4 linked regions of the Tamandua tetradactyla genome follow. The protein of the gene in region 2 purifies or fractionates together with the protein of the main gene of each other region. This does not show direct contact. Links are inferred from orthologs where the notes say so. Each region holds a gene or a part of one and is shown on either strand. Other genes may lie near its edges.

Region 1 (7,792 bases), on a different chromosome or scaffold from region 2:
TCTTTTTCTGAATTGATGAAAATGTTCTAAGAAATGATCATGGTGATGGATACACAACTATGTGATGATGTTGTGAATTATTGATTATATACCAAGAGTGGAATAATCATATGGTAAGAATGTTCATGTTTGTATGTTGTTATTTTTTAAAAAAAGAATTAAGTGAGCAATGAAATAAAGCATTTAAAACAGTAACTGCTCAAAGGATGTGCTCAATAAACGTTGGCTGTTTTTATTATTTTCTGGCATCCTTCTCTAGTACTATATGGATTTGCAGCCAATTATTTAAATTTCCTGCATACTTCACACATTTTTAAATTGTTATTCTTTTTTTTTTTTGTATGCTGTATGACGGGGTCACATTTCATTCTTTTTCCATGTGAGTATCCTGTTATTGCAGCACCATTTGTTGAACTTTCATTTGTTTTCTTTTGTTTGTTGCTTACTTGTTTGCTTGTTTTGCAGAAGTGCATGGGCTGGGAATCGAACCCAGGTCTCCTGCATGGCAGGTAAAAATTCTACCACTGAACTACCCCTATGCTTATTTTTTATCTCCAAGTATGATTATTTCTACTTGGATTGTTATATTTATTTTTACGTGAAACACCTCAAGAAATTATGTGAAGGAATTTGGATAGGGAATATATGCATACATATTAATAGTAATTGAGATTTTGATGTTTCACAAAAATGGGGAGTTTCTTTTACAATTATTAGAACGTAAGACTTTATGAAGAAAACCTAATACCAATGAAAACATCCAAGGCAAGCATGGCTTTGTGATGACATGGTCATCTTTTTCATTAACATAAGAATATGTTCTAAGTAAAAAATGTAAGTTACACAGGGACTGAAATAAACTTGGGTGTTTAGAGACAGTAGACAACAAGAGATAAAGAATAGGTTCCTAATCTCTGAAGGCACATAGTCATGAGCATGGATGGGCTATGAAACTGAGTTGACATCTGCAAAGGTGGTTTAAGGCTCTGGGAAGTTATAAAATAAACAAATGTTGGGAATAAATGAAGTACACATGAGAAAATTTCATGCAAATATATAATCAATAAATGACGATATTTGAAAATAATGTCACTAAAAAAGAGTTGGTCTTATTGATATTTTTTTATTTGTAAAAATAATACATTCCTGCTTGAAAAATGTCATAGAAATGCAAGAAGTAAAAAGTTCAAATTCCCATCTATCTACCTCTTTGCATCAACCATTTCCCAGAGATAGGCATTTGTTGGGTGTGTATCCTACTAGCTATTGTCTACAAATTTTCTATTATGAATGTATATCTATGTATCTCATCTCTATTTGTAAATCTATTTCTAGATCTGTATTTTATGCCAAAGAAAGATAGGAAACACTTTGAACACCTGATATCCATTGTGGTGAAAACAGTTTTCGGGTGATGGGCTGTGTATGGAGAACATAAATAAGCCAGATAATTACAGGCCTTGTAACAAGTTCTTCTAAGAGATTAAACATCTATTAATAAATCCTTATTATCACCACTACCATAGGTATAAAGTATTTTACAGTTTACAGAGCACTCGTATGAGATTATCTCATTTGATTCTCATAGTAATCCTTGAAGTGAGCAAAGTAAGAGTTATTATTTTCATTTACAAATGAGAAAACTGATGTCCAATGTAATGAAAGGATTTGCTTAATATCACTCCAAATCCATGTTTCACCATATCAAGTCTGGCACTGGAAAAGTCAGTGGTATTATATTAAATGCACCAAGCATCATTTTGATTATTGTTACTTAAAACAAGAATTTTTTTCTATCATAGAAACATGCAAAAGTAGAGGATAGTAAAATGAACCTTTATGTATCTATCATCCAGCTTTCACTATTATTAACCATTTGCCAATTTTCATATATATTTTTGAATATATGGAGTCTAATGTGCCGGTGATGGTCGTGGAACCACATTTGGGATATATGAGGTGTAATTTGTTCAGTGGGCTTTGGTGATATACACAATGTATTGTGTGCACAAATGCCTAGAAGTAGCTGGAGATACGCAGAACCTTGTTATCATATTAAATTTGCTTGGGCTGTTGTGATGCCTGCTCATTTATGCTCTTATCACCTTTGGTTTCACCATTGTAACCCCAGTTCCTGACACAGTGTTGTTGAATGAATGTGTTTTATTTGCAGTTTCAATTTAGACAGCATGAAGTGAAGAAGATCGTGTATAGTAGTATAACCAACCTCTGCAGAATGCTTCTTGGTGTGTTTCAGGTGCTAATTATAGCTACGATCTGTGCGTACCAGGTGCTAGGTCCTATTCTAAGTGCCTTCATGCAGTAACTCATCTGATTCTGACAAAAACCCTGTGAAGAAAAAACCATTATGATCTTTTATATTTTGTAGGTAAGTAACCAGTAATTTGGTCAAATCACATGGATAGGAAGTGGGAGATCTTGGAGTCAAAGTCCAGGCAGTGTGGCCCCAGGATCTGTGCACTTAGCCACCTCTGTTTGTTGCTCCTGTGCAATAACGTGTCTGAATATCATCTACGGGGCATTGAACACATTTGGGGTATTTGGTAGGTGGTGGTCCTACCTGTACTCCTGGATCAACTCACAAAATCACTCCTTTGCACTGGTGCCAGAGAATGGGAGAGGGTTGCACATGGAACAGAACTTTTAATTTATTTTAAACAGACTTTCTCATTTTTCATGAACACAAGGCACTTCTAAGTGCTGTGTAGGAGGGAATGTGGCAGAATGATTTCATTGAGACCCTGCCAATTTCTGGTCTTGCAACCATCAAAGACGCATCATTTCCTCAAAGACTTCTAAAGGGGGCTATTACCATGTGCCTGCAGGTTCTGGTTTGCATTTGGAGGAGACACTATCTTCCTAAGTGAGACATGGAAAAGGAAGTGTCACAAATTGTAAATAAGGTTAAGAGGCTGAGAGAGAACAATTGTTTGGACGTAAAGATGGAGAAAAATTTTCTCCAAACCAGGTACCATCTCTCTCTCTCTCTTGGCTGATTCTTTCAGAGTCCATCTTGTTTTACTTGCTAAATTTATTAGTGGGAAGAACGGAATTTTTTAAAGAATTTTCCCACAACTGCCCAAGCATGAAAACAAAATAAAAACCTCCTAGATAAATATTAGTACATCTATTCAATGTAACACCATTCCACCATTAAAAAGAATGAGATGCAGCTCTAAGGGTTAATAGAGAATGCTCTCCAAGGTATACTTTTATAAAGTGAAAACAGTCAAGGCTCAAAACAGCATTTGTACCAATGCTATCATTTATGGAAAAAAAAGGGTGATTAATCTACATATGTTCATATGTGCATAGAATTTGCTTGGAAAAAGGAAACCAGTTAAAAAGCTTGCCATTGGTGAAGGACGGTCTTTTCACTCTAAGCCTTTTTGTATTTTTCAAAATACTTTTAACCATATATACTAGTTATATTTCAAAAAAAGTTAAAATATTTCGATTGTCAACTTGGAAATAGAAGAGCAAGCAAATATTTTTAAAAAGTGGAAGAAAAGCAACATTTTAATTGTGTTTTTCAGGAGGAGGGTTTGGGACCAGATGTAGGGTCAAACAGTAATTCTACCTCTCCATCTCGCTGAAGGATGGTCCTTTCAGTTCCCATTCCTGGGAAGTAAGAGGCAGAGGGATTAGGGAGATCTTGATTTAATGAAGTTAGGGGGCATTTCATGTCACTCCCCAGGTGTGGGAAGAGATGGATAGAAAACAAGAAGGAACAATGAGGGCGGAAAAGAATGGTAGCTTCCCTCCAACCATCCAAGAAATGTACATCTGTGGTGAGAGTCGTGAGCTTTGTCCATGGAGTGTCCAGAGTACCTACCTAGCTAGGAACTTTCACTTAATTGCTCTCAGCAGAGGCTGGCCTGCTATACTTCCTTTCCCTCGGCCTCAGGGTATCTTGGCTTGGAAGTTCTCCTTTGAAAAGGGGCCTGGCCAAGGACCCAAGAAGAGTCACGCTGGGGACTGGCCGGTTAACAGGGTGGACAAAAGCCCTTTCTCAAGGAGAACCTTACGAGAGAGACGGGTGCCCCTCACGCCTTAGGTCCACCCAAGCTGGGTACCTCCACCTCCTGTGAGCCCTGATGTAGGTTTCTGGCCTGGAGCTAGGCAGGACCAAACGTGATGCTTGCAAGCTTAAATGCCTTCTGGGGCTCCGCAGTTAACTTCAAAATACTTGAAGTCGCCAGGTATAAGAGGAAATGGCAGGAACTTTTTGACTAGGAAAATGTATTTTCTGACTAACAGCATTCATATCCAGACTTTTAAACTGTGCAACTGTGCTGGCCAAACAAAATATTTCTAACTGGCTGGAGTCAGTGCCAGTTTGCGACCCCGGCTTAATATCCGCTTCTGGCTGCTTGCTCCAAACTGCGCTCAACCTCAGCTGGTCTCGCAGTTAGTTTAGAAGCGCGCTACAGCGCAAGGGTCTCGAACTTTGACGCTCGGAGCCGGTTACTGGCTTCATGTTACTTCCACCAGAAATGGAGTTGTCGCGCCCAGGACATTCTCTCCCGGGCGACTCGAGGTCTGCGTAGTCCTGTGCAGGTTGGGAGGGGAGCTGTAGTGGGCGTGGCGAGCCCGGGATCCCAGCGAGCGAGCCGGGGGAACACCAGATCCTGCGAGGTGAGGGGCGGGGCCGACAACAGAGGGGCGCCCCCCCCCAGATCCCGCCCTACCTGGCCCCGCCCCCCGCGCTCTAGAGTTTCGGCCCCAGCTCGCACCCGGCACTGAGTCCTAAGACACCGCAGAGCAGGCGGTGTTCTGCCGCTGCGTTCTCTCCACCTGCACAGGGCGTAACTGGCGTGCTGCAGAAAGCTCAGCCGGTCCCGCAGGCGGGATATTCTTTCCACCAGCTCCCGCACAGGTCTTGCCAGCCGCGCGGGGAGCCGGGGCATCCTCGCCGAGTGCGCTTCGGGGTCCTGCTCTGCGGCGCGCGTCCCGGCTCCGCGCTTTGGTGGCCGGGCAGGCCCCGGGCAAGAGAACCGACTCCCGAGTTCTGGGCACCGCGCTGGGCTCGAGGTGCAGGATGAAGAACAAGGCGCTGCTGACCATCGTGCTGTGTCTGTGCTTGGAGACCCGGGCTGTCCCCGTGGGTAAGGACCCCACTCCATGGGAGGGAGCCGAGAGGTCGGGTGCGGGTGGGTGGATGCGGATGCGGGGAGGATCTGGAGACCGATCTAAGTTTGAATCATAGAGCTGGAGAGTTGGGAGAAACTGACACATTTGTGCTGTTCCTTTTACCCAGCGGGGAGATAGACTCACAGACTGGCCCAAGATTGCCCAGCGAGGTGGTCTCCCGAGCTCTAGCGGTGTCTTTTCCAAGGCTCTGGTGTCTGACCGGGACCTCGGCTGGAGCGTGTACTGCGGGGCCGACGCACCCTCGGGCTCCTTGGCGGCGGGGCGGGAAGGCGCCAGGGGCTGACTGGCAGAAGTTACCCCGGCAGGCGGGAACACACAGTGAGAAGCTGTCCGACTGTGCGAACCGTTCTGGGGGGGACCCCGGCGGGCTTGCCAGTCCGGGAAGGAAGCCTTGCTAGGGGAGTAAGTCCTGCGGTACAGCTCACACAGTGCCCTCCGCTCTACCTCGGTGGGAGTGAAACGGGGCCACCGGCTGCCTGTTCCCTCTTCTCTCGGACAGGCACAGCCACTGTATGAGGTGGCGGGGTCCGGGAAGAGGGAAATTTTTACTCTCCATGGAGCAGGACGCCGCTCTTCTTGCAGAAAGGGGTGGGGTGTTGGGGTCTTGGTCCCGGACCCTGTCAGCTTCCCCAAGTGACTAAGCGACAACCCCCTTCCTAGGTAAAGCAGTGTTAACGTCTTTCTAAGCATTTTGGCTCCTAGGTAAGCGCAGGGTCTACCCTGTACCCAGATTTAGCGCCACTTAACATTGCGGTCCCCTTCTAGATTAGGAACCCATAACGTGCTGGATGCAATAGCTGTGTGTGTGTGTGTGTGTGTGTGTGTGTGTGTGTGTGTGTGTGTGTGCGCGCGCGCGCGCGCGCGCCCAGTTGATATTCTTTCTCCATAGCCACAGTTTACTGAGTCCCAGATTCTGTGTCTTGGAAGAGAAGGGGAGAGGGCGGAGAAAAGCAAAATCAGATGATCCAGGGACCCAACTCCTACAGAATGAATCATGTGCCCCTTATGTTGGGGTGACCACTGATGTACTTTCTTACCTCTTTTTTGAAAGGGAGAGAAAATTACTTTTAAGTGCCATCTTATACTTTGTATCAGCCAGTGCTGGAGAAATCGTGAATAACGTATGTACAAAACTTTTTTTTTTTTTTAATTTTCTATTATTTTGAAATTCTGCCTCTTTGGATTTGGGGAACACTGGCTACCCCATCTCTACAGTCTGGGCTGGCAGAATGCTGATGTTTTACAATTCTTTTCCCCACTCAGTTCCCCTCTTCTGGTGAGGTTCCTGTGAGCTCTGTTAGATGGGCATCCTGAAGCTTGTTAAAATGTACCCTCCGTTGGTGCGGTCTCTTTTGGGGGCAGATTGGGAGAAAGAGAAACCAATAATGCAACTGTTTTGATAGAAAAAATTGATAAAATGTCTTTTTGAAGTAAAGAACCAGTCCCTCTAAAAATAATAATAATAATAATTCAGGGGAAAAAATTCTTATAACGATAGAAAAAAAACACACTTAAAGAAGGCACGAGCTCAGTACTAAGATCATCTGTCCATGGTTATTGAATTTTCTTAATCGTGACTTACTTGGTTCTCCAAGCTTAGCTGTGTCACGGCCACTCATTTGTCCCTGACAAGGCCTCTCTCTCCCCCCTTATGGGAAGAGAATGAAGATCTGGAGCTTGTGGTTGGTCTGTAGCCCATAAAGAAGTGAGTTGCTTTTAAGCCTGGGGTGTTTCATAGCACAGCTGTAAGTAACTGCTGAATATAATGGTGGGGTTGCCCTTTTGGAGTGTGTGACTTACTTAATTGGATTGGGCTATAATTGGTGCCATCAAATTCTAGAGACAGAGGCACTGTTGTTTTTCCTTTCTGTCTCGAAGCTGGGGAGGGTAATAGTGCACAATTTAATTAATATGGGTTATGGGATTTGAACATAGAAGGGCTTTTTATTGAGCATATGTATCTCTTATAGCCATTTCTGTAGGATATTTTCTGAAGAATAGGACTCAAACTTGCCAAGGAAAAATGAATGAAAGTTAATGGAGCAAAGAAAAAGAAAAAACTTGAGTGTTGGTCTACAGATAAGAACTTGAAGTTATCATTATTGCTGGCCTTGTTGAATAGATTTTTGTTGTAGACAGGTCTCTAGAACAGTACAGTGTTGTCTTAACTTCTTATAGAAAAATGTCATGGAAAAGGTTTTTTCTCTCTCTTTTTAAATTTGTTTTCTTTTTTTTTTTGAATACTCTGGGGACTTTTTAAAAATTATTTTTGTATAGGAAGATGTGTCAAGAATGTGAGATGATCTGTGGCAATAATATATAAAAGATCTTCAAAATTCTCTTATTTTGATGGGGGGAAGGCTGTCATAGCTTATTTAGAGCCTTGATACTACTCCCATTTTATTCTCACACAAATGTGCCCAAATAATGAATTATTTCCTATTTGAATTATCATGTGAGTTGTATTCAGTTGTTGTTATTGACATTTTTCTCAAGCTCGCATTTCCCAGTCAAATTTGAAACTTTTGCTCATTCAGATGAAATGTTTTCATTTTCATTTTCTTTGGAAAATGGGCTCCCTTATTGGAAGGCTTTTTTTCTTTTGCTTTTAAACATT
Region 2 (6,885 bases):
TCACCCAGCATTAATTCTAATTACCTTAAATTTTGAAAAAAAATTTTGCCACATTGAGGCCCGGGTGTCACATATGGCAAGCCACATTCTCACATCCTGGGAAAGGTGAGCCTACCAGTTTTGAGCTTTCATTTCGAGAAACCCAAAAAGCTAAAGCGATTCGCTGAGTGCCAAATAAACCCGGCTCTGGGCTGCTTTATTGTTCAGCATGGATTCTCATTGTCACTTTTTATGACGGATTTCCTACTGGAGAGCCTTAGTCTGCAATGCCGCCACATTTATTGATGCTTAATTTTGAGCAATAAAAAGTCAGTGCATAAACTATGTAAGAGGAACAGGTATGAAAATAGTGAAATATATAAGCCTATCAATCACAAAGTTTCAGTAATGGTATATATAGATTTTAATATTGCATCTAATAGATTCCCTGTGGAAAGTGAATGGCATTCTTTGCTCTCAGCGTGAATTTATAAATCTACAGAATTTTATTACAGGAAAACCAGGTCAAATGGAAATGAAAGATGAAGTGCACATCAAAAATGCATAAAGCTACATGCATTACAGAAATCATTTCCCATAAATCAAAAAGACACAATATAAATTATACTGTATTTTCTCAATTGCTGGAGGTTTCTGACTATGCTTCTTAGATCAGAGTAGTCTTATGCTGGTTTCCTTTGCCTTGGCTTTCAAAAGCTTGAGATTTGCCAAGAAGAAATGATGTTGCAACTGGAGTCCAGAATCTCAGCTAATGATCATACTGGACTCCGTTATGTGATCCTGTGGAGACTCTTGCATTATTTTAAAGGTGCAGAAAACTTGGAAAGTGCCCCTGTCTCATTAAGTCTCCTCCAGCTCTGTTCAAACATGGCAGTGTCTGGCATCTGTTAGAGGAGTGAAAGAAAACAGCGCTGCTTCTAGTCACTCAACAGAGTCACTTCAGAAGACATTTAGGTGGATTCAGTACCACACCAGAGCTCTTTAATCTGTGACTTCTGAGAAAGTGACAGTGTAATAAGATAATGTGGACGGCTAGACTCCCTGACTCTGTTAAATCTCTCTAACAGTTGATTAAGAAAGAACAATTTCTAATGACTCTGGACCATTAGTCCTAAATAAGGCTAATGAATTAATTTAGCAGACACTGGTACTAAGAGGAGGTGGACATGGCTTTCAGAGGTCTGCTGTGCAACAGTGGCATTTACCAGCTCTGGGTCCTCCAATCATAGCACCATAGCTATAAGCTAGTCAAGCTTGCTGGCAGAGCTAGGGTCTCCTCCCCCAGATTTCACTAAGAAAATTAAGAAATTGACATACATATGTATATAATTTATGGAATTCACAACTTGAAGTCTGAAAGCGTTTTCCATCAGGTTTCAAATGCATCTTGGGAACATCTTCCCTGCTGATTTATTCTCAGGAGTTGTGGAGGGCCGTGGGCGGGTTACACTGATTCCTAAAGCCTAATCATTTGAGCCCTTTGAGTTGGAGAGGAACATGATTTCGTTCCTTGCCAGAGCGTAGAAAGAGGCCAACTCAGGTTCATCAGCAAGGTAAACTCCACATTCACAGTTTGTACGTGTGTTCTATTTATTTCCAAGCGTGTCTTTTAGAACTCTCCTTAACTCTCCTTGGTAGCTGTTGAGGGAACGGCTTGCTTAAATGTAAAACCTCCAAAAACGTATTAGAGAGATTAACTTTCATCATAAAGATGTGATTAAAATTGCTCTTGGAGTGAATAAGAGACCACTTGTGGTCTCTTATTCGAACGGTATACAACAGTAAGTAGTGGATGTCCTTTTCTTCTAATTACTTTGCTTGAAATCTAAGCCAGATGAAAGTAAATATTTGCTCATTAGTTAATAATAATTGCTGAAGATTCACTGTAAAGATAATTTGATATCCCTTGCCTTCACTTACTCTACAGTGGAAGTCAAACATGCCTAACGGTCAGATCACATTATATAACACGTTATTTATGTTACATGGTACTGTTTATCCCCTCTCACAGTCTTTCATTTACTTAACAATGAGTGGCTTTAAAAGCAAAGTGGAAACTGCAAGTAGACTAAGGATTTTCACATCTCCGGGTGTCTTACATTGTATATATCAGATTCCTTTATTGACACTACGCAACTTTCATTCAAACTCCAGCTGGATTAGGGACGATTTACAAAGGCGTAGGAGGGGGCTCCTTAAACCTAGAAACCGGTATCTCCAGCAGGCACCAGGCAGAGGAAATAGTTCGGGGGAGCTGCAAGAGAACCAGGAAGTTCTCCTGGTAAAGTGTTCATTAACTTTCATCTGCCATCAGATTTTTGAAAGGGAGTCTCGTCTAATTGCCTTTGGGAGGAAACATTATTAAGATAATTGGTGTGCTGATCTGGGAAGGTTGGAGGCTCTGCCTTGTCACAGAGGTGGGAAAACCCCCACAAGCAAACAACCAACTTCGGGAGGGAGCCTGCGGGTTGGAAATCCTCCTGCCTCAAACAGACTGTTTATATTTCCTAATTTCTGCGCCGGGATAAAAGTTTCCTTCGCCCGGGGCAATGCCCGCTCGCCGTTGCTCCCAGCAGCGAAGCCCCGGCTGGAAGCGCGCGGGCGGACGGGGACGCGGCGCTGTCAGACGCGCCTCCGCCTGTCACTTACCGTTGCGAGAAGCGCCGGCCAGGGCGAAGGCAAGCGCGGCGCAGACCAGAGGCAGCCCCTTCTCCATTCTCCCTTCGCCGGACCCCCAGGCAGATGCGGGAGAACGAGAACGTGCGAGGAAAACCCAGCGAAGGGCGTGATCTAAAAAACCCAAAGTGCTCCAACTCCGCTTAGAACCGTAAAATCCTCCAGCCGGTCTTGGAGAAAGGAAAGCGGCGAGGCAATGCCTGCATCCGAGAGAAACGCTTCTCTTTTTGTGTCTCAAGTCGTCTGCATCCTGTCATTTAGCTCCGGTTTCCTCTCCCTTTTCCCACACTTGTTCCTCTTCCAGGAGCCACTGCTCGGGCCATGTCTCAAAAAAAAAAAAAAAAAAGTGGGGGCTGGGCGGGGGAGGAGGGAGGGAGGGAGGGAGGGAAACACAGCAAAGCCAATCTCCAGAAAGAAAAAAAAAAAATCCGGATTGTTTCTGGACCCGATGGAGCCGAGAAGCTGGCGCCCAGGGGAGGTCCGGAGTGTCTGCGGGAAGGAGAGGAGCAAGCAATGAAAAGATGAGCGGAGACGAAGGAGTTTCACCAACTGCACCCCCGCCTCCCCCACCTCCTTCCGTCCTCCCCTCCCCTTCTTGAGCCCTTCCCTCGCTTCCTCCCTCCCCTCTCCCCGCACTAGCTGGCCAGTAATTGCCTGACAGGAGACGGGGAGGAACAAGTTTGCCTCCGTGTGCTTTCCCCCTCCGTCTGTCTGTCTCTCTGGAAGCCCTGCAGAGCTCTCCAGGAGAAGGGAGGCGCTGGAGGCTCTGCGCCAAGGGCTCGTGTGCGTTTCGGGAGGGGGTGTCGAGGTCGGTGCCAAGGCCAGGGTAGGGTTAGCCTACCTCGGCGGGCCTAGCTCCTGAACCCCCGGGGTGAGAGCCGGGCCCGCTCCGGGGCGGCGAGGACCCCGGTGGCGGAGCAGTGGCGAGCGCCCGGGAGGTGGCGGCTGCCACTTGCAACTCGGAATCCCCGTGCAGGAGCCGGCGGCGGCGAGGAGCGCGGCTTCTCCGCGTCCAGCTGCCCACCTCGCGGGCCCCGAGACCTGTGGCCCGGAGCAGCCGGGCGCTCGCTGGACGCTCGGGCCCAGGGCTAGAGGGCACGGGGTGGACAACTCGGCTGGAGTGGGGAGACGCCCCCGCAAAGCCGAGCGAGGGGCGGTCTCGAAGGTGCCACGTAAAACCGAGGCAACGCGCCCGGGTATGCGAGGCCCGGCTGCTGTCCTCCCGACCTCGCGCCCCGGCACCAGGGTGCGCCGCCGGGTTCCAGTCGCTCCTGGGTGCCCGGGTGCCCTCCGCGAGCCGCCGGCCTCCATTGTTTCCCGAGATTTGGTGACCTCTTCTCTGGGACACCGGGGACACTGGAGGGTGAGAGGTGATGTGCCTTCCAGCTAGGGGGCAGCCGTCGCCCAACCCCGCCCAGCGCGTTGTCTCCGTGTCCAGGCGCTTGGTGGTTTGGAAATTAAGGGTCCAGTGGCCCCTGTTTCTCTGCATCCCGGGAAAGGTGGGACGTGGGAGTGGGGGGATAGGAAAGGGCGACTTTTGACAGGGCGCTCCCGGCTCCCGGCAACAGGCAATGGTACACGCAGGTCCTCTAGCTTCGTGCCCACCACTCCCTCCCCACCTTCCCCCCCTCCCACCGCGAAGGCGCGTCCTCACTACGGGTTGGAAGCTTCCCAGTTCCACCCCACCCCCACCCCACCCCCAACCCCCAGGGCTTTCAGAACTGCGGTCCGAGTGCGTCTGCGGATAGGAAAAGCAAGGACATTTCGGAGAAACAGGTTGCGGCCAGGGATCCGCCCTTTAGAGGGTGAATGCCAGCTGGCTCCCTCCCAAGGGGTTGGTGGGGGAAGGTGAAAAGGTCATTGTACCGTCTGGGAATTGGCGTTTATTTATACACCCCGAAATCAGAGCCTAATTCCTACCTGGTCCAAAGAGCTGGCAAAGAAGATTTAGGAATGTTTGGAAGGAGACTCTGGTCAGAGGTTTTGGCGGAAGAGCTTGGGGCGCGCTGGGAGAAAGGCAACCCCGGCTCTTTGGCCCCCGGCCAAGGGTTTCAAGCGGGGGGGGGGGGGTTACGGCGGGGCGCCCCGCCGCGCGCCCTCGAGGTGCAGGCGGACCCCTAGCCGGCTCTGATATGCGCCCCGCGGCTCTAGCACTGGTGGGTAACGCCGGGTGCTCGCCACTACGGGTCAAGATTCTTTTTTCACTCCGCCCACGGGACCCCAGCGGCAATTCTGCAGACGGAGCCCTCCCGGCGCCCCGAAGCAGCCCAGCGCCCAGGGCGCCTCCTTCCCCTGGCCAGTTGCCTTGTTCTCGACTTCCAGATCCCTGGGAGCGGGGATGAAGTGTGCGCTCCCAGGGAGGCATGGGGTGGGATGGTGGCACCCGACCGGGAGTCAAAAGCATGGTCCAGTGGAAGGGGCAGTGGCAGGACCCGAGAGCAACTGCGCCCCTGGGGCGGGCGTTGGGAGGAAAGGAGCGAGGAGAGGGAGGGAGGACGCGGCCAGGGGAGGAGGGGAGGGGGAGCGGCGAGCGACCGCGCCCAGCGCAGACCCCCCGGAGGGCGCGCTCGCGCGGAGGTAACCCTGGGCGCTGGGCTGCGACTGCAGCGCGTTGCCGCGTCCCCGCCTTCCTCTCGCCGCTAGGCTCAGCCAGCCAGTTCCCAGCTGATCAGGGTCAGCGTCAACAGATTTGGGGTGACCCCCAGCGACCTCAGTCCTAAGATCGCCGGGAGAGGCGGCTCGTAGGACCTGGCAGGCTGACAGAGAAGGGGAATTGGGCGGGTGCAGCAGCCGGGGCCGTCCCGGAATCACAGAGAATCGCCTTCTTCCGAACAGGACGCCGGTGGCCGAGCGCGCTCCGGGGAGTCTGTCCTGACAGTCTGAGCTTCGGCGGGGTGAGCGAGGGGGCACTCGCGGGACACTTGAGCTGTGTTGTTCTTTAGAAAACTGCCGCCAGTCTCTCTTCCCCTTTCCCTGCTGAGTGTGCATTTCCCAGCGTGGATTCGCCAGGCCAACAAATACAGCCACCGGTTCGTGCACTCTGGGAGAGACTGTCCCCCACCCCGACCTGTCCCCCTCTGGGCTCTGGCGACTGCAGCCCTGCGGGCTCCCTCCTGCCTTCCCACGGGGAGGCCCTTCCAGCGGGTCAGTGCACAGAAAACGTCGGTCTCCTTCCTTGCTCACCAGCTGAGCACTTTTGCTTTCTTCAACCACCTAATAAGGCAGCAGTATGCACACTGGGGAAAATACCATATTTAAGTACTGCCACTAATTTTCCTGGTCTTAGCTGATTCGAGGCTTTTCTAGACTCCTTGGTTTCCAACACAGTTCAGATAACAGAGCCTTACCACGCTGATTGACAATTGCGGGCTAGTGGATTGGTACAGAGTAAATTGTCCCTGCTAACAACCTCTTTCCTCTACTGTTACCTTCCACTAAGTGCAGAAAAGGGCCAGTTTTAGATTTCTGCAATTCTCCGGCAAGGGAGACAGACTAACCTTTATATAAGAATAAATGATAGGGGAAGAATTTGGCAGGGTTCCAAGGTTGATTTTATTTTGGTCTCACGGACACATCATTCTTCCCTGACACCACATATCCCCAGACTAGAGAGGACCCAGTTGCACTGAGAGGAAGATTCAGCCACCGCACGCCACGATGCAGTGCTGAGGCTCAGTCAGCAAAATCCAGCCCCATGGACTCCCACCCAGGAGCCGCTGCTGGGATAAGCTTCTAGGCTGGTGCAGCCTTAAGAATAGACTGGGTGGTAAATGCTTGGTTCCTTTCATCAAACTCTTATCGATTTGTCAGAAGTAAGATGAGATTCATTGCTCCCAGAAGGCCATTTGAGTCACTAACTTCCTCAAAGTATTCCAGGTTGATGCAATATGGAGATTCAAGTTGTTATTTCGGAATTGTCAGATCTATCTTAGCTAAGTTTTTTAGAGTTATCAAACCCATATATTTCAGAAGAGCGGTAAAACAATACATGTTTAGTAGGATCTACTCTATGTTTGAGACGTAAGAATGGAAGAAGGGAAACTGGAAAAAGATCCAAAATTGGAATTTAAATTAATTAAATAATAATTTTAAATAACTCTGTTAAAAATGGCACCTATGTCAAATGTCTCTATCATGCAGGAGGTATCTTTTGTATCTCACTAATTGGAATTTAAATTAATTAAATTAATAAAATAATAATTTAAAATA
Region 3 (6,933 bases), on a different chromosome or scaffold from region 2:
TTCTCCCAGCATCCCTCACTTACTCTCCACAGCTAAGTCTCGACTAAGAAAAGCCGCATCCACGTCCTCCAGAAGCACTAGGCTCTGCTGTGGGGCCACGCTTAACAGGTGGTTGAGCCGGTCATCAGAGAGACTGGAGTCTGTGAGACTCAGCAGGCAGATGCTGTGCTCCAACTCCCCAGCCAGGGCAGTGCTGTGGGGGTGGAGGTGAGGGGTGGGACAACAGGGTGGTAGGCAACCTGAGAATTTTTCCTTGGGCCCTGCTGCTCTCTCCTAACTGTCCTGGGAAGTGTTTCTCAGAGGTCTTCCCCACCATCCCACCCTGATGCTCACAGATCTAATGTTTATCCTGAATCCTGGTCCCCTGATTTATTTCCCTTCCCATCCTTAACCCAGTTTTTCTCCAAAGACTTGACTCTACTCACATAAAACTGCTCTTTCCACATCCAGGGGGCCCATAAAGCAGGTAGCCACGTCTGTAGGGAATGCCTAGGAATACACTCAGGATGATAATCAAGACCTAAAATCAATCATGCACATTGCCCCAGATACCCATTTTCATTCTCAGTCCTGCCCCCCAGAGGCCTGATGACCTTGGTATTGGAAGAAATCATCCCTGCAGTCATCTTCAAAAGTCAGACTAGAGCTTTATACTTATTCCATCAGGCCACAAAGTCCAGCCTGTTCGCTCCCGCACAACATGCCCAAAAGTGCCAAGACCTCAGCTGCTTCTCACCTCTGTCAATATACCATTTGGGGTTATCAATGAATTCCCGGATATCTTTGACAATTCGGTCAGCCAGACCCTGTCCGAGAACCACAGAGTTTAGCGGCCGCCGGCGACGTGGATAGCCGAAGGGGCGCCATTCAGAGCCCATGGCTGTGTACATCACTGTCTTCCCTTCCTCTTGCTGCAAAGCTAGCTCTCGAGCTAGAAGGGGATAGATGAGCCAAGGTCAATAATTCTTTGCTATGACTGGTTTTTCAACTAGGCATAAAGTTGGGCCTACACAGTTTCCCTCTGGCTCCTCTCCAAGGCTGTGCTTCCTCTCATGTCAAATTTCCTGACCCCTGTAACATCCCCTTCTCCACAATAAAACCTGCCTGTGCCATCTCATACCTTCCTCCAGGATACTGAAGAAAACCTTGCGGTCAGTGCCCAGGGCTGTGAAAGTGACAGATTCCCAAGGAGTCCCGGTCTGCAGGTCTATCATCTGCATTTCTCGACTTCGTACCACCCGGATCCATTTTCCCTGATACCTAAATAAGAAGGGCCAAAATGGGGTGCATGAATGGGTCAAACCCATTCTCATTTTCTACTCACAGAGCCCTCCCTGGCTCCCAATCTTACCAGATAAAGTGGTTTCCAGGACTAGGGACAAACTCAAACTTGGTGGAGATGCGGCCACTCTCATGCTGAAGGTACGAAGTCTCCACACTGAGGTGCTGAGTACGGGTACTGTGGCGGGTGAGCCAGCTAAGCAACCAAGCATAGCTCCTGTCTCGAGCAGGGACTTCCAATGTGATCATGTAATGGCGTCGGAATGCCACCAGGCCCAGCTGGGCACCCTTCCGGGCCAGGGCCAGAGCTGTGCCCACACCCACCAGCCCAAATCCAGCCCCAAAATAGGGGTTGTCTTTCAGGGCCAGAATAAAGTCTGAGAAGGACATCCTGAAAAGGAAACACCAGTCTTACAGGTCCTGAGGCCTTATCAAAACCTGGAGGTGGGTGGCAATGGAAATGAGACAAAGTACAAGATTAGTTTAGAACCTAGACTCCATATACCTACCCATTCCCTCCTACAGAGGCTGGGAACAGGAAGGACAGGTCAGCACTACTGTGTTTCAATATCATCCCTTTTTGGGGTAGGGGCAAGGGCTAGAGAACTAAGACTCCGGGCCCCTTATATCATTAGCCTGCTCATACCTGTTTCCTGCCACAGGATAGTGTTTGGAGAGTCCTTAAACTCGAGGAAGCAATGTAAATGGCTTGACATCAGGATTATAGGTGGATAGACTTTTCATGGTACCTGGGACCAGCTGAGATAGAAAGCTGAGATAGACTCCTACTGGCTGGAGTCAGTGAGGGGTAAAGGAGTTACTCTCTTCCCTTGTTATCCTATGCCTTGTTACAGTGAGTAATGCCTTTCAAATATCCTCCCCTTTTCATACTCAATTCTTAATGACCTGCTCTGTTTAGATGTATTATTTCCCACTTGGAAATGGCCTCTTGAAGGGTCTCCACCTCCTGTTTAACCAAATTGCTACACACGGGATCAGACCTTTCTTCACCAATCCTATCACTTCCCTGCTCTAACACGTCCAACAGACCACTGAATTATGTACAAACTCCTCAGCCTGGAACTTAAGATTCCCCACAACACGACACCCACCTACCTTTCCTAACTTAGCATGAATGCACCCAGTTCAACAAATATGCAAACAACCTCCCACCTCCTTGCCCACGCAATTCTCTCGGTTCGAATGCCCGTTCTCCTTTATTCCCTCCATTTGGCCAATTGAAATCCTGCCCATCTGCTAACTCTTCCATGGAACCTTTCCAGAATCCTACAATAAAACGTGACCGGGTCGAATTCTAGACTGTAAAATCCCAAAGCGCAGGGGCCAAAGCGTTTCTAATAACCCTCATCCTCTCCACTTTGCCCTACACGCAGGGCGGTGAAATGACAGCCGTGACCTCAGCTAGAGTTCAGAGCCGGGATCCAAAATTATACATAGAAGGCCGGAGACAAAACCTCCCCACCCCAGGTTCAGGCCGGACGCCCAGTAACCAGCTCCCGAACCTCGTCCACAAACCAACTCACGCCTCCAGCAACGTGGTTTAGAATAACCCATCACCCCACCCCCTTACCGCCATGACTCTCTGGCCCTTCCTCTCGCTGCCCCTCCGCTCTTTGGGGGCTCCACAAGGAACCAACCCCGAGCTCTCGCATCTACTTCCCGCCACACCCATCGAGAAGGCCCTGCCGCTCTGCCCCACAATTCTCGATGGTAGTCCTTGGGTTTTTTTGCACGGCCTCCGGTGGGAGGAGGGAGGAACTATAGAGAAAACCATAGACTACCCCGCCAGCCGCCCACAAGAAGAGAGAGCGGCCTCAATCCGCCAAATTTCTTAGAGGCGGCTGGGCCGAAGGCGGTCGCACAAAGGGCGCCCCGGGAGACCGCTCCAGCCGCGGGTTGACCATAGAGATGCGACTCCCGCCGGCCCTGGGCCGGGAGGTGAGTGACTGCCGGGCGGCCGCTGGGAGGGGGTGCGGGTGGACCCTGCTAGCGGCAAAAGTTTCTCGAGCTCGAGGTGAGAGTGGGCCTGGGCGGTGGGGGTCTCCGGGAGTAGGTGTTGAATGAGCATGCCGACGAGCGGGGTTCTGCCACATGACACCCAGCCTCCCCAGCGCCTCAGCCGCGTCATTGCTCTGGTTCTCGCCCGGATGCCCGCTGCCCCCAAAGGACCGTAATCATGACGATGCGCCTCCCCAAGCCTTGCAGATTACCAAAGACCTTTCCCATTCGCCGGCTCTTGTGATTCCCGCTACCGTCGAACTATGTAGGCGCTGGCATCGCCTCCATTTTACAGATGGAAAAACTGAGGCTCGGAAAAGCGAGGTAGGTGACTGTAACTGTCCAAGGTCATACGATGAGTCAGAGTCCGAGGCAGATGAGAACACGGGTACCTTGGTCACCAGTTCTTCCTTTTGCCTTAATTTAACCTTTCCGTAATGCCCATAACCCCCAAATAAGCTTGTCTCTTCTCTCGTATCCACCTCACCCCGCTTTCTAGTAAATAAAGGTTCTTAGTGTAAACTGCACCGGCTCCTCGCTGAGGCCATGTAAGGCGGAGCTGGAGGCTTCTCTAGAGCAGAGATTATGTTCAGTAAGTGGAGGCTGCGGTTTCCAGAGAATCCTTCTGACCATAAAAGTGCACTTCTCCTCCACCTTCTGAAAATCGAAATTTTGAGTGGCAAGATTCTGGACAACAAGGAATATCATATCGTAGGATCTTGGTTTCTTTTTTATGCATATTGCTTTCCACCAGCAGCCTAATTTCTCTCTAGCCTTTGGCCTTTATAGACCTTCCATGACTTGATTTCATGGAATGATTTTATTCTTATTAGTTGCTAATTACTCAGCTTAAACTCATTTTACCCATGTATAACAGGATATGCAATTTAACAGTCATTCATTGCTCGGATGTGTTCCAGTTCAATTTGAGATCATAGTGTAGTCAATGAGCTTGACATTTCTCCATATATATTACTTTCTATGTGAGGAACCATCTGGTTACCAGGATACCTAGCTCTGTTCCAACGCATCTCAGTGTATACAGTTCTTCACTAGAATCCCTTTATTTGTCTGAATTGCATAGATTGTTGAAGGTTTGTGTTCAGTGAAGTGATAAGGTTAATAAGCTCCACTCAGAATCTAGAAGGGAGAATAGTAGGTAAACAACAGCTCTGTGTGTCATGGTCTCTCATATGGCTACTGTGCACAAAGTGCCACTAGGACCATGGAAGAGAGAAATTTAGGTTAAAAGTGTCGGGAAACTTCCATAGTGAAAATGATGTTTGTGTAAATTCTTAAAGGATAATTTGGTGTTGGTTAGGCAGATGAGAGAAATGGAGAAGGGGAAATTTTACATCAGGCCTAGAGGAAAGTACGGACAAGGGTGTTGCAAAAGAAAATGTGGTGTTACTACACAATGGCAGATCTTCTTATATGGCTGGTTGAGAAATCGGGTGAAGGAAGAGGTAGAAGATGAGTCTGGAAAGGTCAGCAGGGGCCAGATCATGAAGAGCCTTATAGCCATGCTAAGATCATAAAATGTTAGAGGAAAAGGTGCCTCTGAGATCCTTTGACCCTGCCCAGATGAGAATATTGAGAACCAAATTGCTTAATAATTTGTCCAGGGTCACTTAGCTAATATTACCAAAGCATGAAACAAAACCTGCAGTCTTTAATATATTGGCCAGAATTTGTTGGTTCTCTCCTAATATTGGCTCTGTTTATAAACATTTTTATGCTTTTTTTAAAAAACATTATTATTAAAAAAAAAATCTCTCTTTAGGTTATTAAGGTACAGCATACTACATGTAGGAAAATACCTAAATGGACAGAGATGGGGCTGGGCACCCACAGCAGGGAAGAAAATGAGAGCTCTAACTATATTTTGTTTTGATTTTCTTCTAACTAGCTTATCAGCACTTAAGAGGCTGCAGCACCCAAATTGGTGGTGATGACAGACCCCGTGTTGGACTCACAGCCACCCAAAATCACTAAGGAGATGGAAGGTCTGTGCCCTGAGCTGTTGCTGATCCCCCCACCTCTCCCTAACCATGGAGTCCTGGAGGGGCCCATGCAGAACCCCTGCCCTTCTGAGAACCTCACACCTCTACCTGCTAACCCAGGCTGCCTGCTGGTAGAGGCCACAACAACTGAAGAGGGCACAGGAAACATGGAGATCATCGTGGAAGCAGTAGCTGGAAACCTGTCCCCAGGTACTCCTGGAGACACCCCAGGTACAAACAATTGCTAGCGAGCCAGTGGGACAAGCAGCCCTGAGGTTCTCTCTGTGCTATTTTCTGTATAAATATGATGCAAACACGTAGTAGTATCCTATTTTTATACTTCAAGATGTTGTAATTTGGTTTGCAGTTGTTGAATGTTGATTGAATGCTGGTGAAGTACACAACCTTGAACCAAGCTCTGGCAATCTTTTTCCTTCAAGAGCTCGGGATAGGGCTTCATATCTGCTACCTCTGCCCAGTTCAGGCTTGTCCTTACTCTTATAGTCCTTGGGGATTCTTTTCCCTAAATTGACTCTCCCACCCAGGAACTGCAGCCAGGGATTAGGCAAAAGACCCAGCCTCTCTCTACCACTTGGAGCTTGACAGGGCTTCCTAGAGGTAATCTGGTATTTACCCACCCTAGTTTCTTGTACATAACATAGTTCAGTCATCCAAGACATATTTTAAGAGTGGAAGTTGAGCATTTATATTTATTTTAGGGGAAAGAGTCTCTTTATTCTTCCCATGTCTCCAACTGCTTATTTTTTTAGAAACTTCCTGGTTTTTTAACTGCCATCCTCCAACTACAGTTGTCACCACTTCCCTTGGTAGTGTAGTGTAGTGACAAAAATATTGGGAAAGATTAGCTAATTTGGTCATATAATATTTCTAAACTTCCCTGTGGTAAAAGAAACCACAAGAGAAAAATACTGAGAAAAATAATTACACTATACAAGAAATAATTAATCTTTAAGATTCAAATAGCTCCACAATAAGAAAAAGAAAGCAGTAAAAATATGGAAAAAAGAAATGTGCATGCAGTTCACAAAAAAAGAAGAAATAAAAATGATCAGTAACCAAATAAAAGGATGCATAATCTCACCGACACACAAACTGTAATACCTAATGTTGGTGAGGATATAGGAAATAGACAGTATCTTACAGTGCTTGTGGAGAGTATGAATTAGTGTAATTCTTTGAAGATAAGTTTAGCTATTTATCCAGTTATAAAATATGCATATTCTGACACAGTAATTCCACTTCTAGGAATCTGTCCAATAGAAGAACATATATGCACAAGGATACAGGAATAAGGATGTGTAGGGCAGCTTTATTTGTAATGATTGGAGACAGTCCAAATGTCTCTCAATAACGGCAGAATTTTATTATGATTTATTCATGCTCTGAAATACCATGAACTGGGCAAAAACATAGGAGGTAGATTTAAATATACTTGTATATAAAAATGTCTTTGACATATAGCAAGTGAATTAAAAACAAAGGCAATAGTGTTCAACCTCGCCACCACCCCCTCAACCTTTTAAAATATTTTTAAAACTAATACTCTATATAGAGGTATGCATGGAGTATGTGTTTGCGTAGGAAAAGGCCTGGAAGAATACAGAACAAA
Region 4 (6,959 bases), on a different chromosome or scaffold from region 2:
ACTCTCAGGGGTCCCACTGGACAGATAGAGAACCCGAGTCTTCAGCAGACCAGTGTGCTGGCAGAGGCAGGCCTCGCTCGTGGACCCCCTGTGCCCCCTGACCCAGCCCTTGGGGGAAAAAGGAAAGTGTTCAGCTCTCAGCTCCCAAAGAAGACAGTCCGGGGGATGGCAAGGGAGGGAAAGACCAGCTAACCAGGCTGCTGGGCCAGGTGGGTGGCAGGATGGAAGAGGGGTGGCCTGGAGTGGCCAGGGGAGTCTGGGGTGGGAGGAAGAGACAGAGACTGGGAGAGGAGATGGGGAGGCCGCCAGTGGGGCAGGGACAGGGCGCAAGAGGGTTCATTTAGGACAGAAGAGAACCAGTCACCTGTAAAAGGCAAAAGGGAGGGATCCAGCCAAGGGAAGTGACTAGATACAGGAAAGCAGATAGGTGATCGATAGCACACAGTTCCTGAGGAGGGGAGGTGGGGGCGACACAGGAGGGGGACATTGCAAGGAGGGAGGAGGGCGGGGGACAAAGGCAAGTCTGAAGGTGGGAGAGGGCACAGCTCGGGCTCCTCTGGGCAGTGGGCTGGGGCACAGGGGCATGAGAGGCTGGGTAGGGAGCAGGCAGGAATAGGGACGGCAGGGACAGGTACCAGGGTAGCAGGCAGGTGCCTCAAGGGAGACCTGGGCCTGCCAGGGCTGGGACTGTAAGGAGATAGACGGGCAAGGGGCAAGTGAGGTGAGGCCCCAGGGCTGGGGCTAGAGTGCTCTGGAGCAGGGGAAAAGAGTCGTGGAGAAAGGAGGGAAGGTGAGGGATGGGAGCAAGCTGGGAGAAGAGTCCCCAGGCAGGACTGGAGCACAGAATATACAGGATGCCAGGTCCTGACAGCACACGGCAGACCGTGGCCTGTCAATGACCCTCCTAGCCTCAGTTTCTCTATCTGTCCTGGTGACAGAATACCGTTCTTGAAAGGTCAACACAAGGACGAGCGAGACGCCAGGGAAGAAGGGCCAAAGGGACCCCTGCTGTCCCATGAAGATGAACCAGCGTTCCCTTGTTCCTGATTCACAGGTGGGAACACTGAGGAAGGGCAGGGATGGGCCCACCCGGTAGGCCCGGGGTGGGACGAGCAGAGCAGCCGAAAGCCTGGCTCTGGATATCTGGGTTCAAGTCCAGCTGTCCGGTGCGGCCCTGAACAAGCTGCCCACTCTCTGCGCCTCAGGGTGTCTGCTGATGAAACAGGGGTTCCTACCACCCAGGGTGCTGGGTGCTCAGAGCCTGGCACGGGCCCCATCGTGTCCTGCTGAGCACTGCATGTGCGTCAGGCCAGCCTGGGTAGACGGGGAAGGACCCAAGAGAGGTCCAGGTACACTGGATGCCACGGCCAGGCCCACATAGCACGTGACGGGCAGAACCTGGACAAAAGGGCAGCTGGCGTGCTCGCTACCAGCCGTGTGGCCCTCTCCTCCCTGAGCTTCGTGCCCTCCTCTCTGACCTAGGGACACCACCACCTGGCTAAAGGGACAAACAGGGTCGGCAAGCCACTCAGCGGCTGCCCCGGCCAAGGAGCCAAGGGAACTGTCCAGGTGGGTGGTCTCCGCGCCCCCTTTTGTAAAGGAAGCACGACGGCGTCTGGGCCGAGAGCAGGCTCCGGAGCCTGGCACAGGTTCTCTGTGGGATGGCGGACATAGTGGCGGCACCCCCATTTCCCCAGCCACCGAGCGTGTCGGCCAAGGACGGGGGTGCGTGGGGCCCGAGGGGCTGGGGCTGGGGCAGCACCCCCACTCACCGAGTTGATGCAGCCCAGCTCCTTGTTGAGCAGCCAGGGCAGGGAGAGCTTGCCCTCTCCGCGGTAGCAGGACTGGATGCGCTCCTTGATCTTCTCCTTGATGGCCCTGAGGGTGAAGAGGCACAGCACAGACTCCTTGGGCGGCTTGACGCGGTTCTTCTGGCCCTGGGCGAACACGGTGAACAGCACGTCCTCGTCCTCGGCCAGACCCAGCTGGTGCGCAAGAGCGCGGCCGGCCCGGCTCAGGTAGGCGTCCTGCACCAGGCGGTACTCGACGCCACCCTGCTCGCAGCCGATGGGGAACTCTACGTATGAGTAGAACTTGGGGTCATCCACGCAGAGCCGCACAATCTTGGAGGTGAAGAAGTGCTCGCCGGCAGCGTCGGGCGAGGTCAGCTGCGTGTCCAGCTGCAGCGTGAGGTAGTACACGAACTGCTCGCTGCGGAAGCTGTACACGTAGTAGATGTCGAAGGCCGGGAACTTGGACAGCGTGTCCGAGGGGATCTTGAGCTGCGACGACACGAACTCGTCCTGGTACACAAAGCCGAACATGTCGGCGTCCTCCTCGTTGGCCATGAGCCGGCGGCTCGACAGGGTGGGGAAGTACTCGGACTTGCCGTCGATGGGCGTGCCCACGAAGAGCTTGGCCTGGGCCTGGCCCGGGGGCCCGGCGATAAGCACGCCTGCCATGCTGCCAGCCTCGCGCACGCTCGACAGGTAGTGCTCTTTGCGGTGGTGCGGCTCGCCCAACTTGAACAGGTCGTCGAGCCGCAGGAACTGGCAGATGCCCTGGGAGGCGCTGCCGCAGGCCAGCAGGCGGTTGGCGGCATAGTCCAGCAGCAGCAGCTTGTTGACGTTGTCGGTGCTGCCCAGGCCGTGGGGGCAGGACTGCACACTGGGCGGCGGGTAGCACTTCTCGTTGTCTTCCACGGGGCCCGTCACGTGGGCCCGCAGCAGCGTCAGGTTCCCCGACAGCTTGTAGATGCGGTTCACGGCGCCCACGTAGACCTCGCCCGTCTGCTCGTGGACCACCAGGTGCGTGAGGCCCCAGTCACTGGCCGCGAAGGTGCGGGGGGAGGGCTGTGCGCCCCCGCCCGGCCTGCCTGCGCCCACCCGAGGGCTGCCCCCCAAAAGCAACAGCAGCACCAGCAGCGGCGGCTGCAGCAGCGGCATGGCAGGCTGGGTCCGCGGGCTGAGGCGCGTGGGTCTCGCGGGGATGTGCATCATGGGGCCGGGAGCCTCAGCCCTGGGGGGACACAAGGAGAGGGTGAGCTGGGGGGAGGGGGATGTGGGGGGAGGGCCCACACACACCGCCTGGCTGGCTAGGAGCATAAGGGGGCCCTCACGAGCTCTCAGTAGCCATGTGCTGTCCAGAGTCCTCCGAGATTGGTGACTGCTGCCCCCCCTCACAGGTGGGTCCTGAGGCTTGGAGGAGGGTCCCCCGGGATGGGCTCGCCAGTGGGCAGGTCCCCCGCCGGGACGACGTAAGCAGGATGCCTGCCTGGCCACGGCTCGCGGAAGCACTTGTCAGGCACAGGGGGGCAGGAGGCGGTAAAGAGGGTCTGGTCCGTCAGCCCTGACTCAAGGCCTTGCTGGAGGAAGCGTATTTGGGCACCTCTACTGCCCTTTCGGGAGGCCCCTGGGCTCAGGGAGGGGGGTGAATAACTGCTCTGCCCAAGGCTGCTGGGGACACGCTCTGTCCCCTGTAGAAGCTCGATGCTGTGGGGCCTCAGTCGGCCCAGGCCCCCCCACCAGGCATGAGCCCTCAGCCTGGCAGAGCCTCTGCCCCACCTGCAGCCCCCAGTGGGGCCCTTTCTGCATGGGGGGGGGCAGAGGCTAACAGTGCCTCGGTTTCCTTTTCTCTATGAGGCATCCCTGTTGTCCTCCACGCCTCCCCAGACCCGACCTCCAGCCCTCACACCTGCCCACAGAGCCTCCCCACAGGCCAGGCACCCCCAATCCCCTGGGGACTGGGCACCCTCCACCCCAGCCCTACAGCGCAGGCCCCAGTCCCTCATTGAAAATGAGGGCTCCCGGGCCCTGGCCCCACCGTGGTGCCCCACAGGGCGGGCAGGATGCACTCCGGGTCAGCCTCCATGGCTCTGGCCCTGTGGCCCCCTGCTGGCCAGCCCCGAGTCCTGCCCTCCAGGGGACAAAGCAAATGCCAAGCCACACTGCAACTTCCACCCCTGGAACCCCCCCCCCCCCCCACTTAGGTTCTCAGCTCTTTCCATCCCTTCAAGCTCGCCACTGGCCTTCCTGCTCTGAGGAAGAAGGAATTTGTTAAAAGGGAAAGGGGTGGTTAAAACGGGATATGTTATGTTGCATTTGTTACTGCAATGCTTAAAAAATGAAACAAAATGTCCCCACAGCAGCGGCCCCTCCCCCTATGTCAGACCCCATGCCCAAGTATGTGCCCATCCTTCCTGGCACAGAAACGTGCCCCACCTGCTGCCCGGCTCCCTGCCCACCTCCCCCTGGGCCCACAGCTCCATCACCCTCACTTCCCAGGTTTAACTTACTACCAGGGTGCCCATGGGGTTCCCTCCTAAATCTGTGCTAAATGGTCTAACCCCCCCCTAAAGCTTTGTCCCTCCCCCCAACCCCGTCAATCACCATCACCCATGCCATGCAGCACCCCCCACTGCCCGCCTGGCCCAGCAACTGGCAGTCAGACTCTGGAGCCAGAAACTCAGAGTAAAACTAGACTCACTCTAGCCCTGGCGGAGACACCCCCTTTCCTGGCTCATGAGGAGCTGTCACATCCACGTGGAGCCAGCAGGGGTCTGTGCCCACCCTGGCTCTGACCCCGTGTGCTGGGGCAGCACCCCTACCCCTGGCTCCAATGCCTAGCCGCAACTGCTCCCTTCCTGTCCTCAAACAGCATCCCTTAGCCAACCCAGTGGTCCATGGTACAAGTGGGGAAACTGAGGTCTCAAAGACAGCCCTTCTGCAAGTCCAGGCAGCCAGCTGCCGTGACACACACTCAAGCCCAGGCCTGGCCTGAGCATTCTGGACTTCCTGCTCTGGGTCACTAGACAAGGCCCGGCGGTCTCTGAACTGAGCCTTGTGTCTGCACCTACAGGATGGGATGCTCCTGCTCCCATCCAGGACCACCGTGCCATCCCTCCTGTCCCTGCAACCTGCCAAGCCCGTTCCACATCAGGGTCTTTGCAGGTACTGTCCCTCGACCTGGAACGCTCTGCCCACTCCTCCTTGCTCCTCCCCCACCCCAGCCCATGCACCTGCTCTAGAAGGGAAGTCCCAGCAGAGAAGGGCCCGGTTCTATGCATCTGCCACTGTATCCCCAAAGCCAAGCTCAAGATGCAGTATGGCTGGATAAATACTCGTTGAAGGAAGGGGTAATTGGGTGGTCAGTCAGGGCTGGGCAAAGCAGGCCTGTCCCCTCACTTTGTCTGTACTGCACACACCCTTGGCCTGGCATACACCCTGGGATGGGCCCACTGCCCAGGTGGGAGACTAAGGCCAGGGAAGCTTGGGACAGTGGCCGGGAACCCCCTTAGGGCCCTCCACCCACACAGCTCCCCAAGAGCAGCAGCTGTCCAGGGACCTCCACGGGCAGACAGACAGAAGGAGAGGAGTCCCGGGCCATCCCAGCTCAAACAGGCAGAGAACACAGAGTGAGGAGCCGGGGTGAAGGCGCCTGGTAGAGGCAGCACGGCTGGGGGTAAGCGCCGAGAGTATGTGAACTCCCAAGAAAACATGAATCACTCACCGTTTATCAGTTCAGAGCAGGCCTGCAATTACCAGGGGCTGGGCTCTTCCCTCCTCCGAGATAATTATACCCGTCTTAATGCAATTACGGGCCCCACGCTTTATGTTCAACAGGAGGGACCCGGCTAAGAAGCCTCCAACCGAACCAGGGCCTGGTCCCAGGGCCACCTGCTCCAACAGAGGCTGCTGGAAGGGTCTGCCCAAGTGCAAGGGGCTGCTGGGCAGGAAAGGGCTGGGCCCACGATGCCTACCAGTAAAGACCCTGAAGTCAATCCCTTACCTTCGAGATGCAGGACTCAGGGCTCAGACAGACCCCCAGACACCTAGCTGGCCCTGGCCCAGCAGGACCAGATCCTGTGCTTCTCCAGAGACCCAGTCAGCCCGTGGGGACTCACCACTGTCCCACCCTCTATCTCAGGCCTCTGCCCAGGCACAAAGCACCTCAGCTCAAATGCATTTATCCTACAGCTAGGCCTGAGTGCTGAGGGCTGGGGACTGGAGGCAGGGTGCACCAATAGATGCTTGGAGGCTCGGGAGAGAACCGAGGTGGCCATTCTGGGGTCTGGGCAGGTTGGCTCCCCCAGGGGAGGGGGCGCCCTCTCCCAACCTGTTCTGGAAGGGCTGTGAGATGCTGGCGGGGGGGGGGGGGGGGGGGCGGGCAGCCTGGGTAGCAGATCGGCACAAGGGAAGGTCCAGAGGACAGATGGATCCATGGAGAGGGAGGCGTGAGAACGCGGGCAGCTTCCCAGCATGGCCGGTGGGGCAGGTGCCGGAAGTCCAGGAGGCAGAGCCAGACCAGGGAGAAGCTGAGCCGGTGCTGGCTGTGCTGATTTAGTGGTTAGCCAGGATAAAAGCAGAGATGGGGGGCCCTGGGCACAGAGGATTCCACTCCCAGAGACAGCAGGCTCAGGCGTCCGGCAGAGCATGGAGACAGCAGTGTCCCCTTTTCCTCCCCCCCGGCCCTGGCTGACTGCACCAGCGCTCCTTCTCACCCTCACTGAGAAACAAAGACCCCCCGCGCCCCCTTCACTGAGGGAGAGGCCCAATCCCCATATCTCTGGGTCTGGACCTTTCTGGAGCCCAGACAGGCTCAGGAAGGGGGGGGACAGGGAAAATACCACCATGCTGCCCAGATGTACCCACAAGAACCCCGAGGGGCCTGCCCACTTGGTTCTGTATTAGTGTACCAGGAGATGGGATGGGATGAGCGAGGAGACCGCGAGGTGGTCTTCCGACTGCTGCTTCTCAGAAAGAATGCCCACCACTCAGGCCTGCCCTCGAGGCCCCTCTTGTCCTGGTCTGTTGTCTAACTGTGCTCTAGGCATGGGGGCCTTGCTGGCATGACCCTAGAGAGGGCTCAAAACCCATGGGCAATGACCTGGGGATGCAAGGGTCCCCGTGCCAGCAAAAGAAGCTGGTTCCTTTGTCCATGGGCAGCCTCCTCACCTGCCT

The links.
Region 1: the proteins of NRP1 (region 2) and KDR purify together in Homo sapiens (affinity purification with western blotting; 7 studies listed by BioGRID and IntAct, with this or other methods). This does not show direct contact. The link is inferred for Tamandua tetradactyla from reciprocal best matches to the Homo sapiens genes NRP1 and KDR.
Region 3: the proteins of NRP1 (region 2) and BCS1L purify together in Homo sapiens (affinity purification with mass spectrometry; 3 studies listed by BioGRID and IntAct, counting the BioPlex papers as one, with this or other methods). This does not show direct contact. The link is inferred for Tamandua tetradactyla from reciprocal best matches to the Homo sapiens genes NRP1 and BCS1L.
Region 4: the proteins of NRP1 (region 2) and PLXNA1 purify together in Homo sapiens (affinity purification with western blotting; 4 studies listed by BioGRID). This does not show direct contact. The link is inferred for Tamandua tetradactyla from reciprocal best matches to the Homo sapiens genes NRP1 and PLXNA1.

Annotation. Positions count from the first base shown.
Region 1 is NC_135345.1:55,464,951-55,472,742, reverse strand, and holds the start of KDR (vascular endothelial growth factor receptor 2), read left to right. Parts: upstream 1-4,778; 5' UTR 4,779-5,062; coding exon 5,063-5,129; intron 5,130-6,276; exon of another isoform or gene 6,277-6,296; intron 6,297-6,901; exon of another isoform or gene 6,902-6,920; intron 6,921-7,792. UniProt on the Homo sapiens protein: Tyrosine-protein kinase that acts as a cell-surface receptor for VEGFA, VEGFC and VEGFD. Plays an essential role in the regulation of angiogenesis, vascular development, vascular permeability, and embryonic hematopoiesis.
Region 2 is NC_135327.1:217,832,362-217,839,246, reverse strand, and holds the start of NRP1 (neuropilin-1), read right to left. Parts: upstream 3,014-6,885; 5' UTR 2,717-3,013; coding exon 2,650-2,716; intron 1-2,649. UniProt on the Homo sapiens protein: Cell-surface receptor involved in the development of the cardiovascular system, in angiogenesis, in the formation of certain neuronal circuits and in organogenesis outside the nervous system. Mediates the chemorepulsant activity of semaphorins.
Region 3 is NC_135329.1:194,195,361-194,202,293, reverse strand, and holds the start of BCS1L (mitochondrial chaperone BCS1), read right to left. Parts: upstream 3,011-6,933; 5' UTR 2,873-3,010; exon of another isoform or gene 2,872-2,872; intron 1,720-2,871; 5' UTR 1,672-1,719; coding exon 1,352-1,671; intron 1,261-1,351; coding exon 1,121-1,260; intron 932-1,120; coding exon 737-931; intron 490-736; coding exon 426-489; intron 194-425; coding exon 24-193; intron 1-23. Other genes in the region: ZNF142 (zinc finger protein 142), read left to right, coding at 5,252-5,534. UniProt on the Homo sapiens protein: Chaperone necessary for the incorporation of Rieske iron-sulfur protein UQCRFS1 into the mitochondrial respiratory chain complex III.
Region 4 is NC_135335.1:29,437,733-29,444,691, reverse strand, and holds the start of PLXNA1 (plexin-A1), read right to left. Parts: upstream 3,013-6,959; 5' UTR 3,000-3,012; coding exon 1,773-2,999; intron 1-1,772. UniProt on the Homo sapiens protein: Coreceptor for SEMA3A, SEMA3C, SEMA3F and SEMA6D. Necessary for signaling by class 3 semaphorins and subsequent remodeling of the cytoskeleton. Plays a role in axon guidance, invasive growth and cell migration.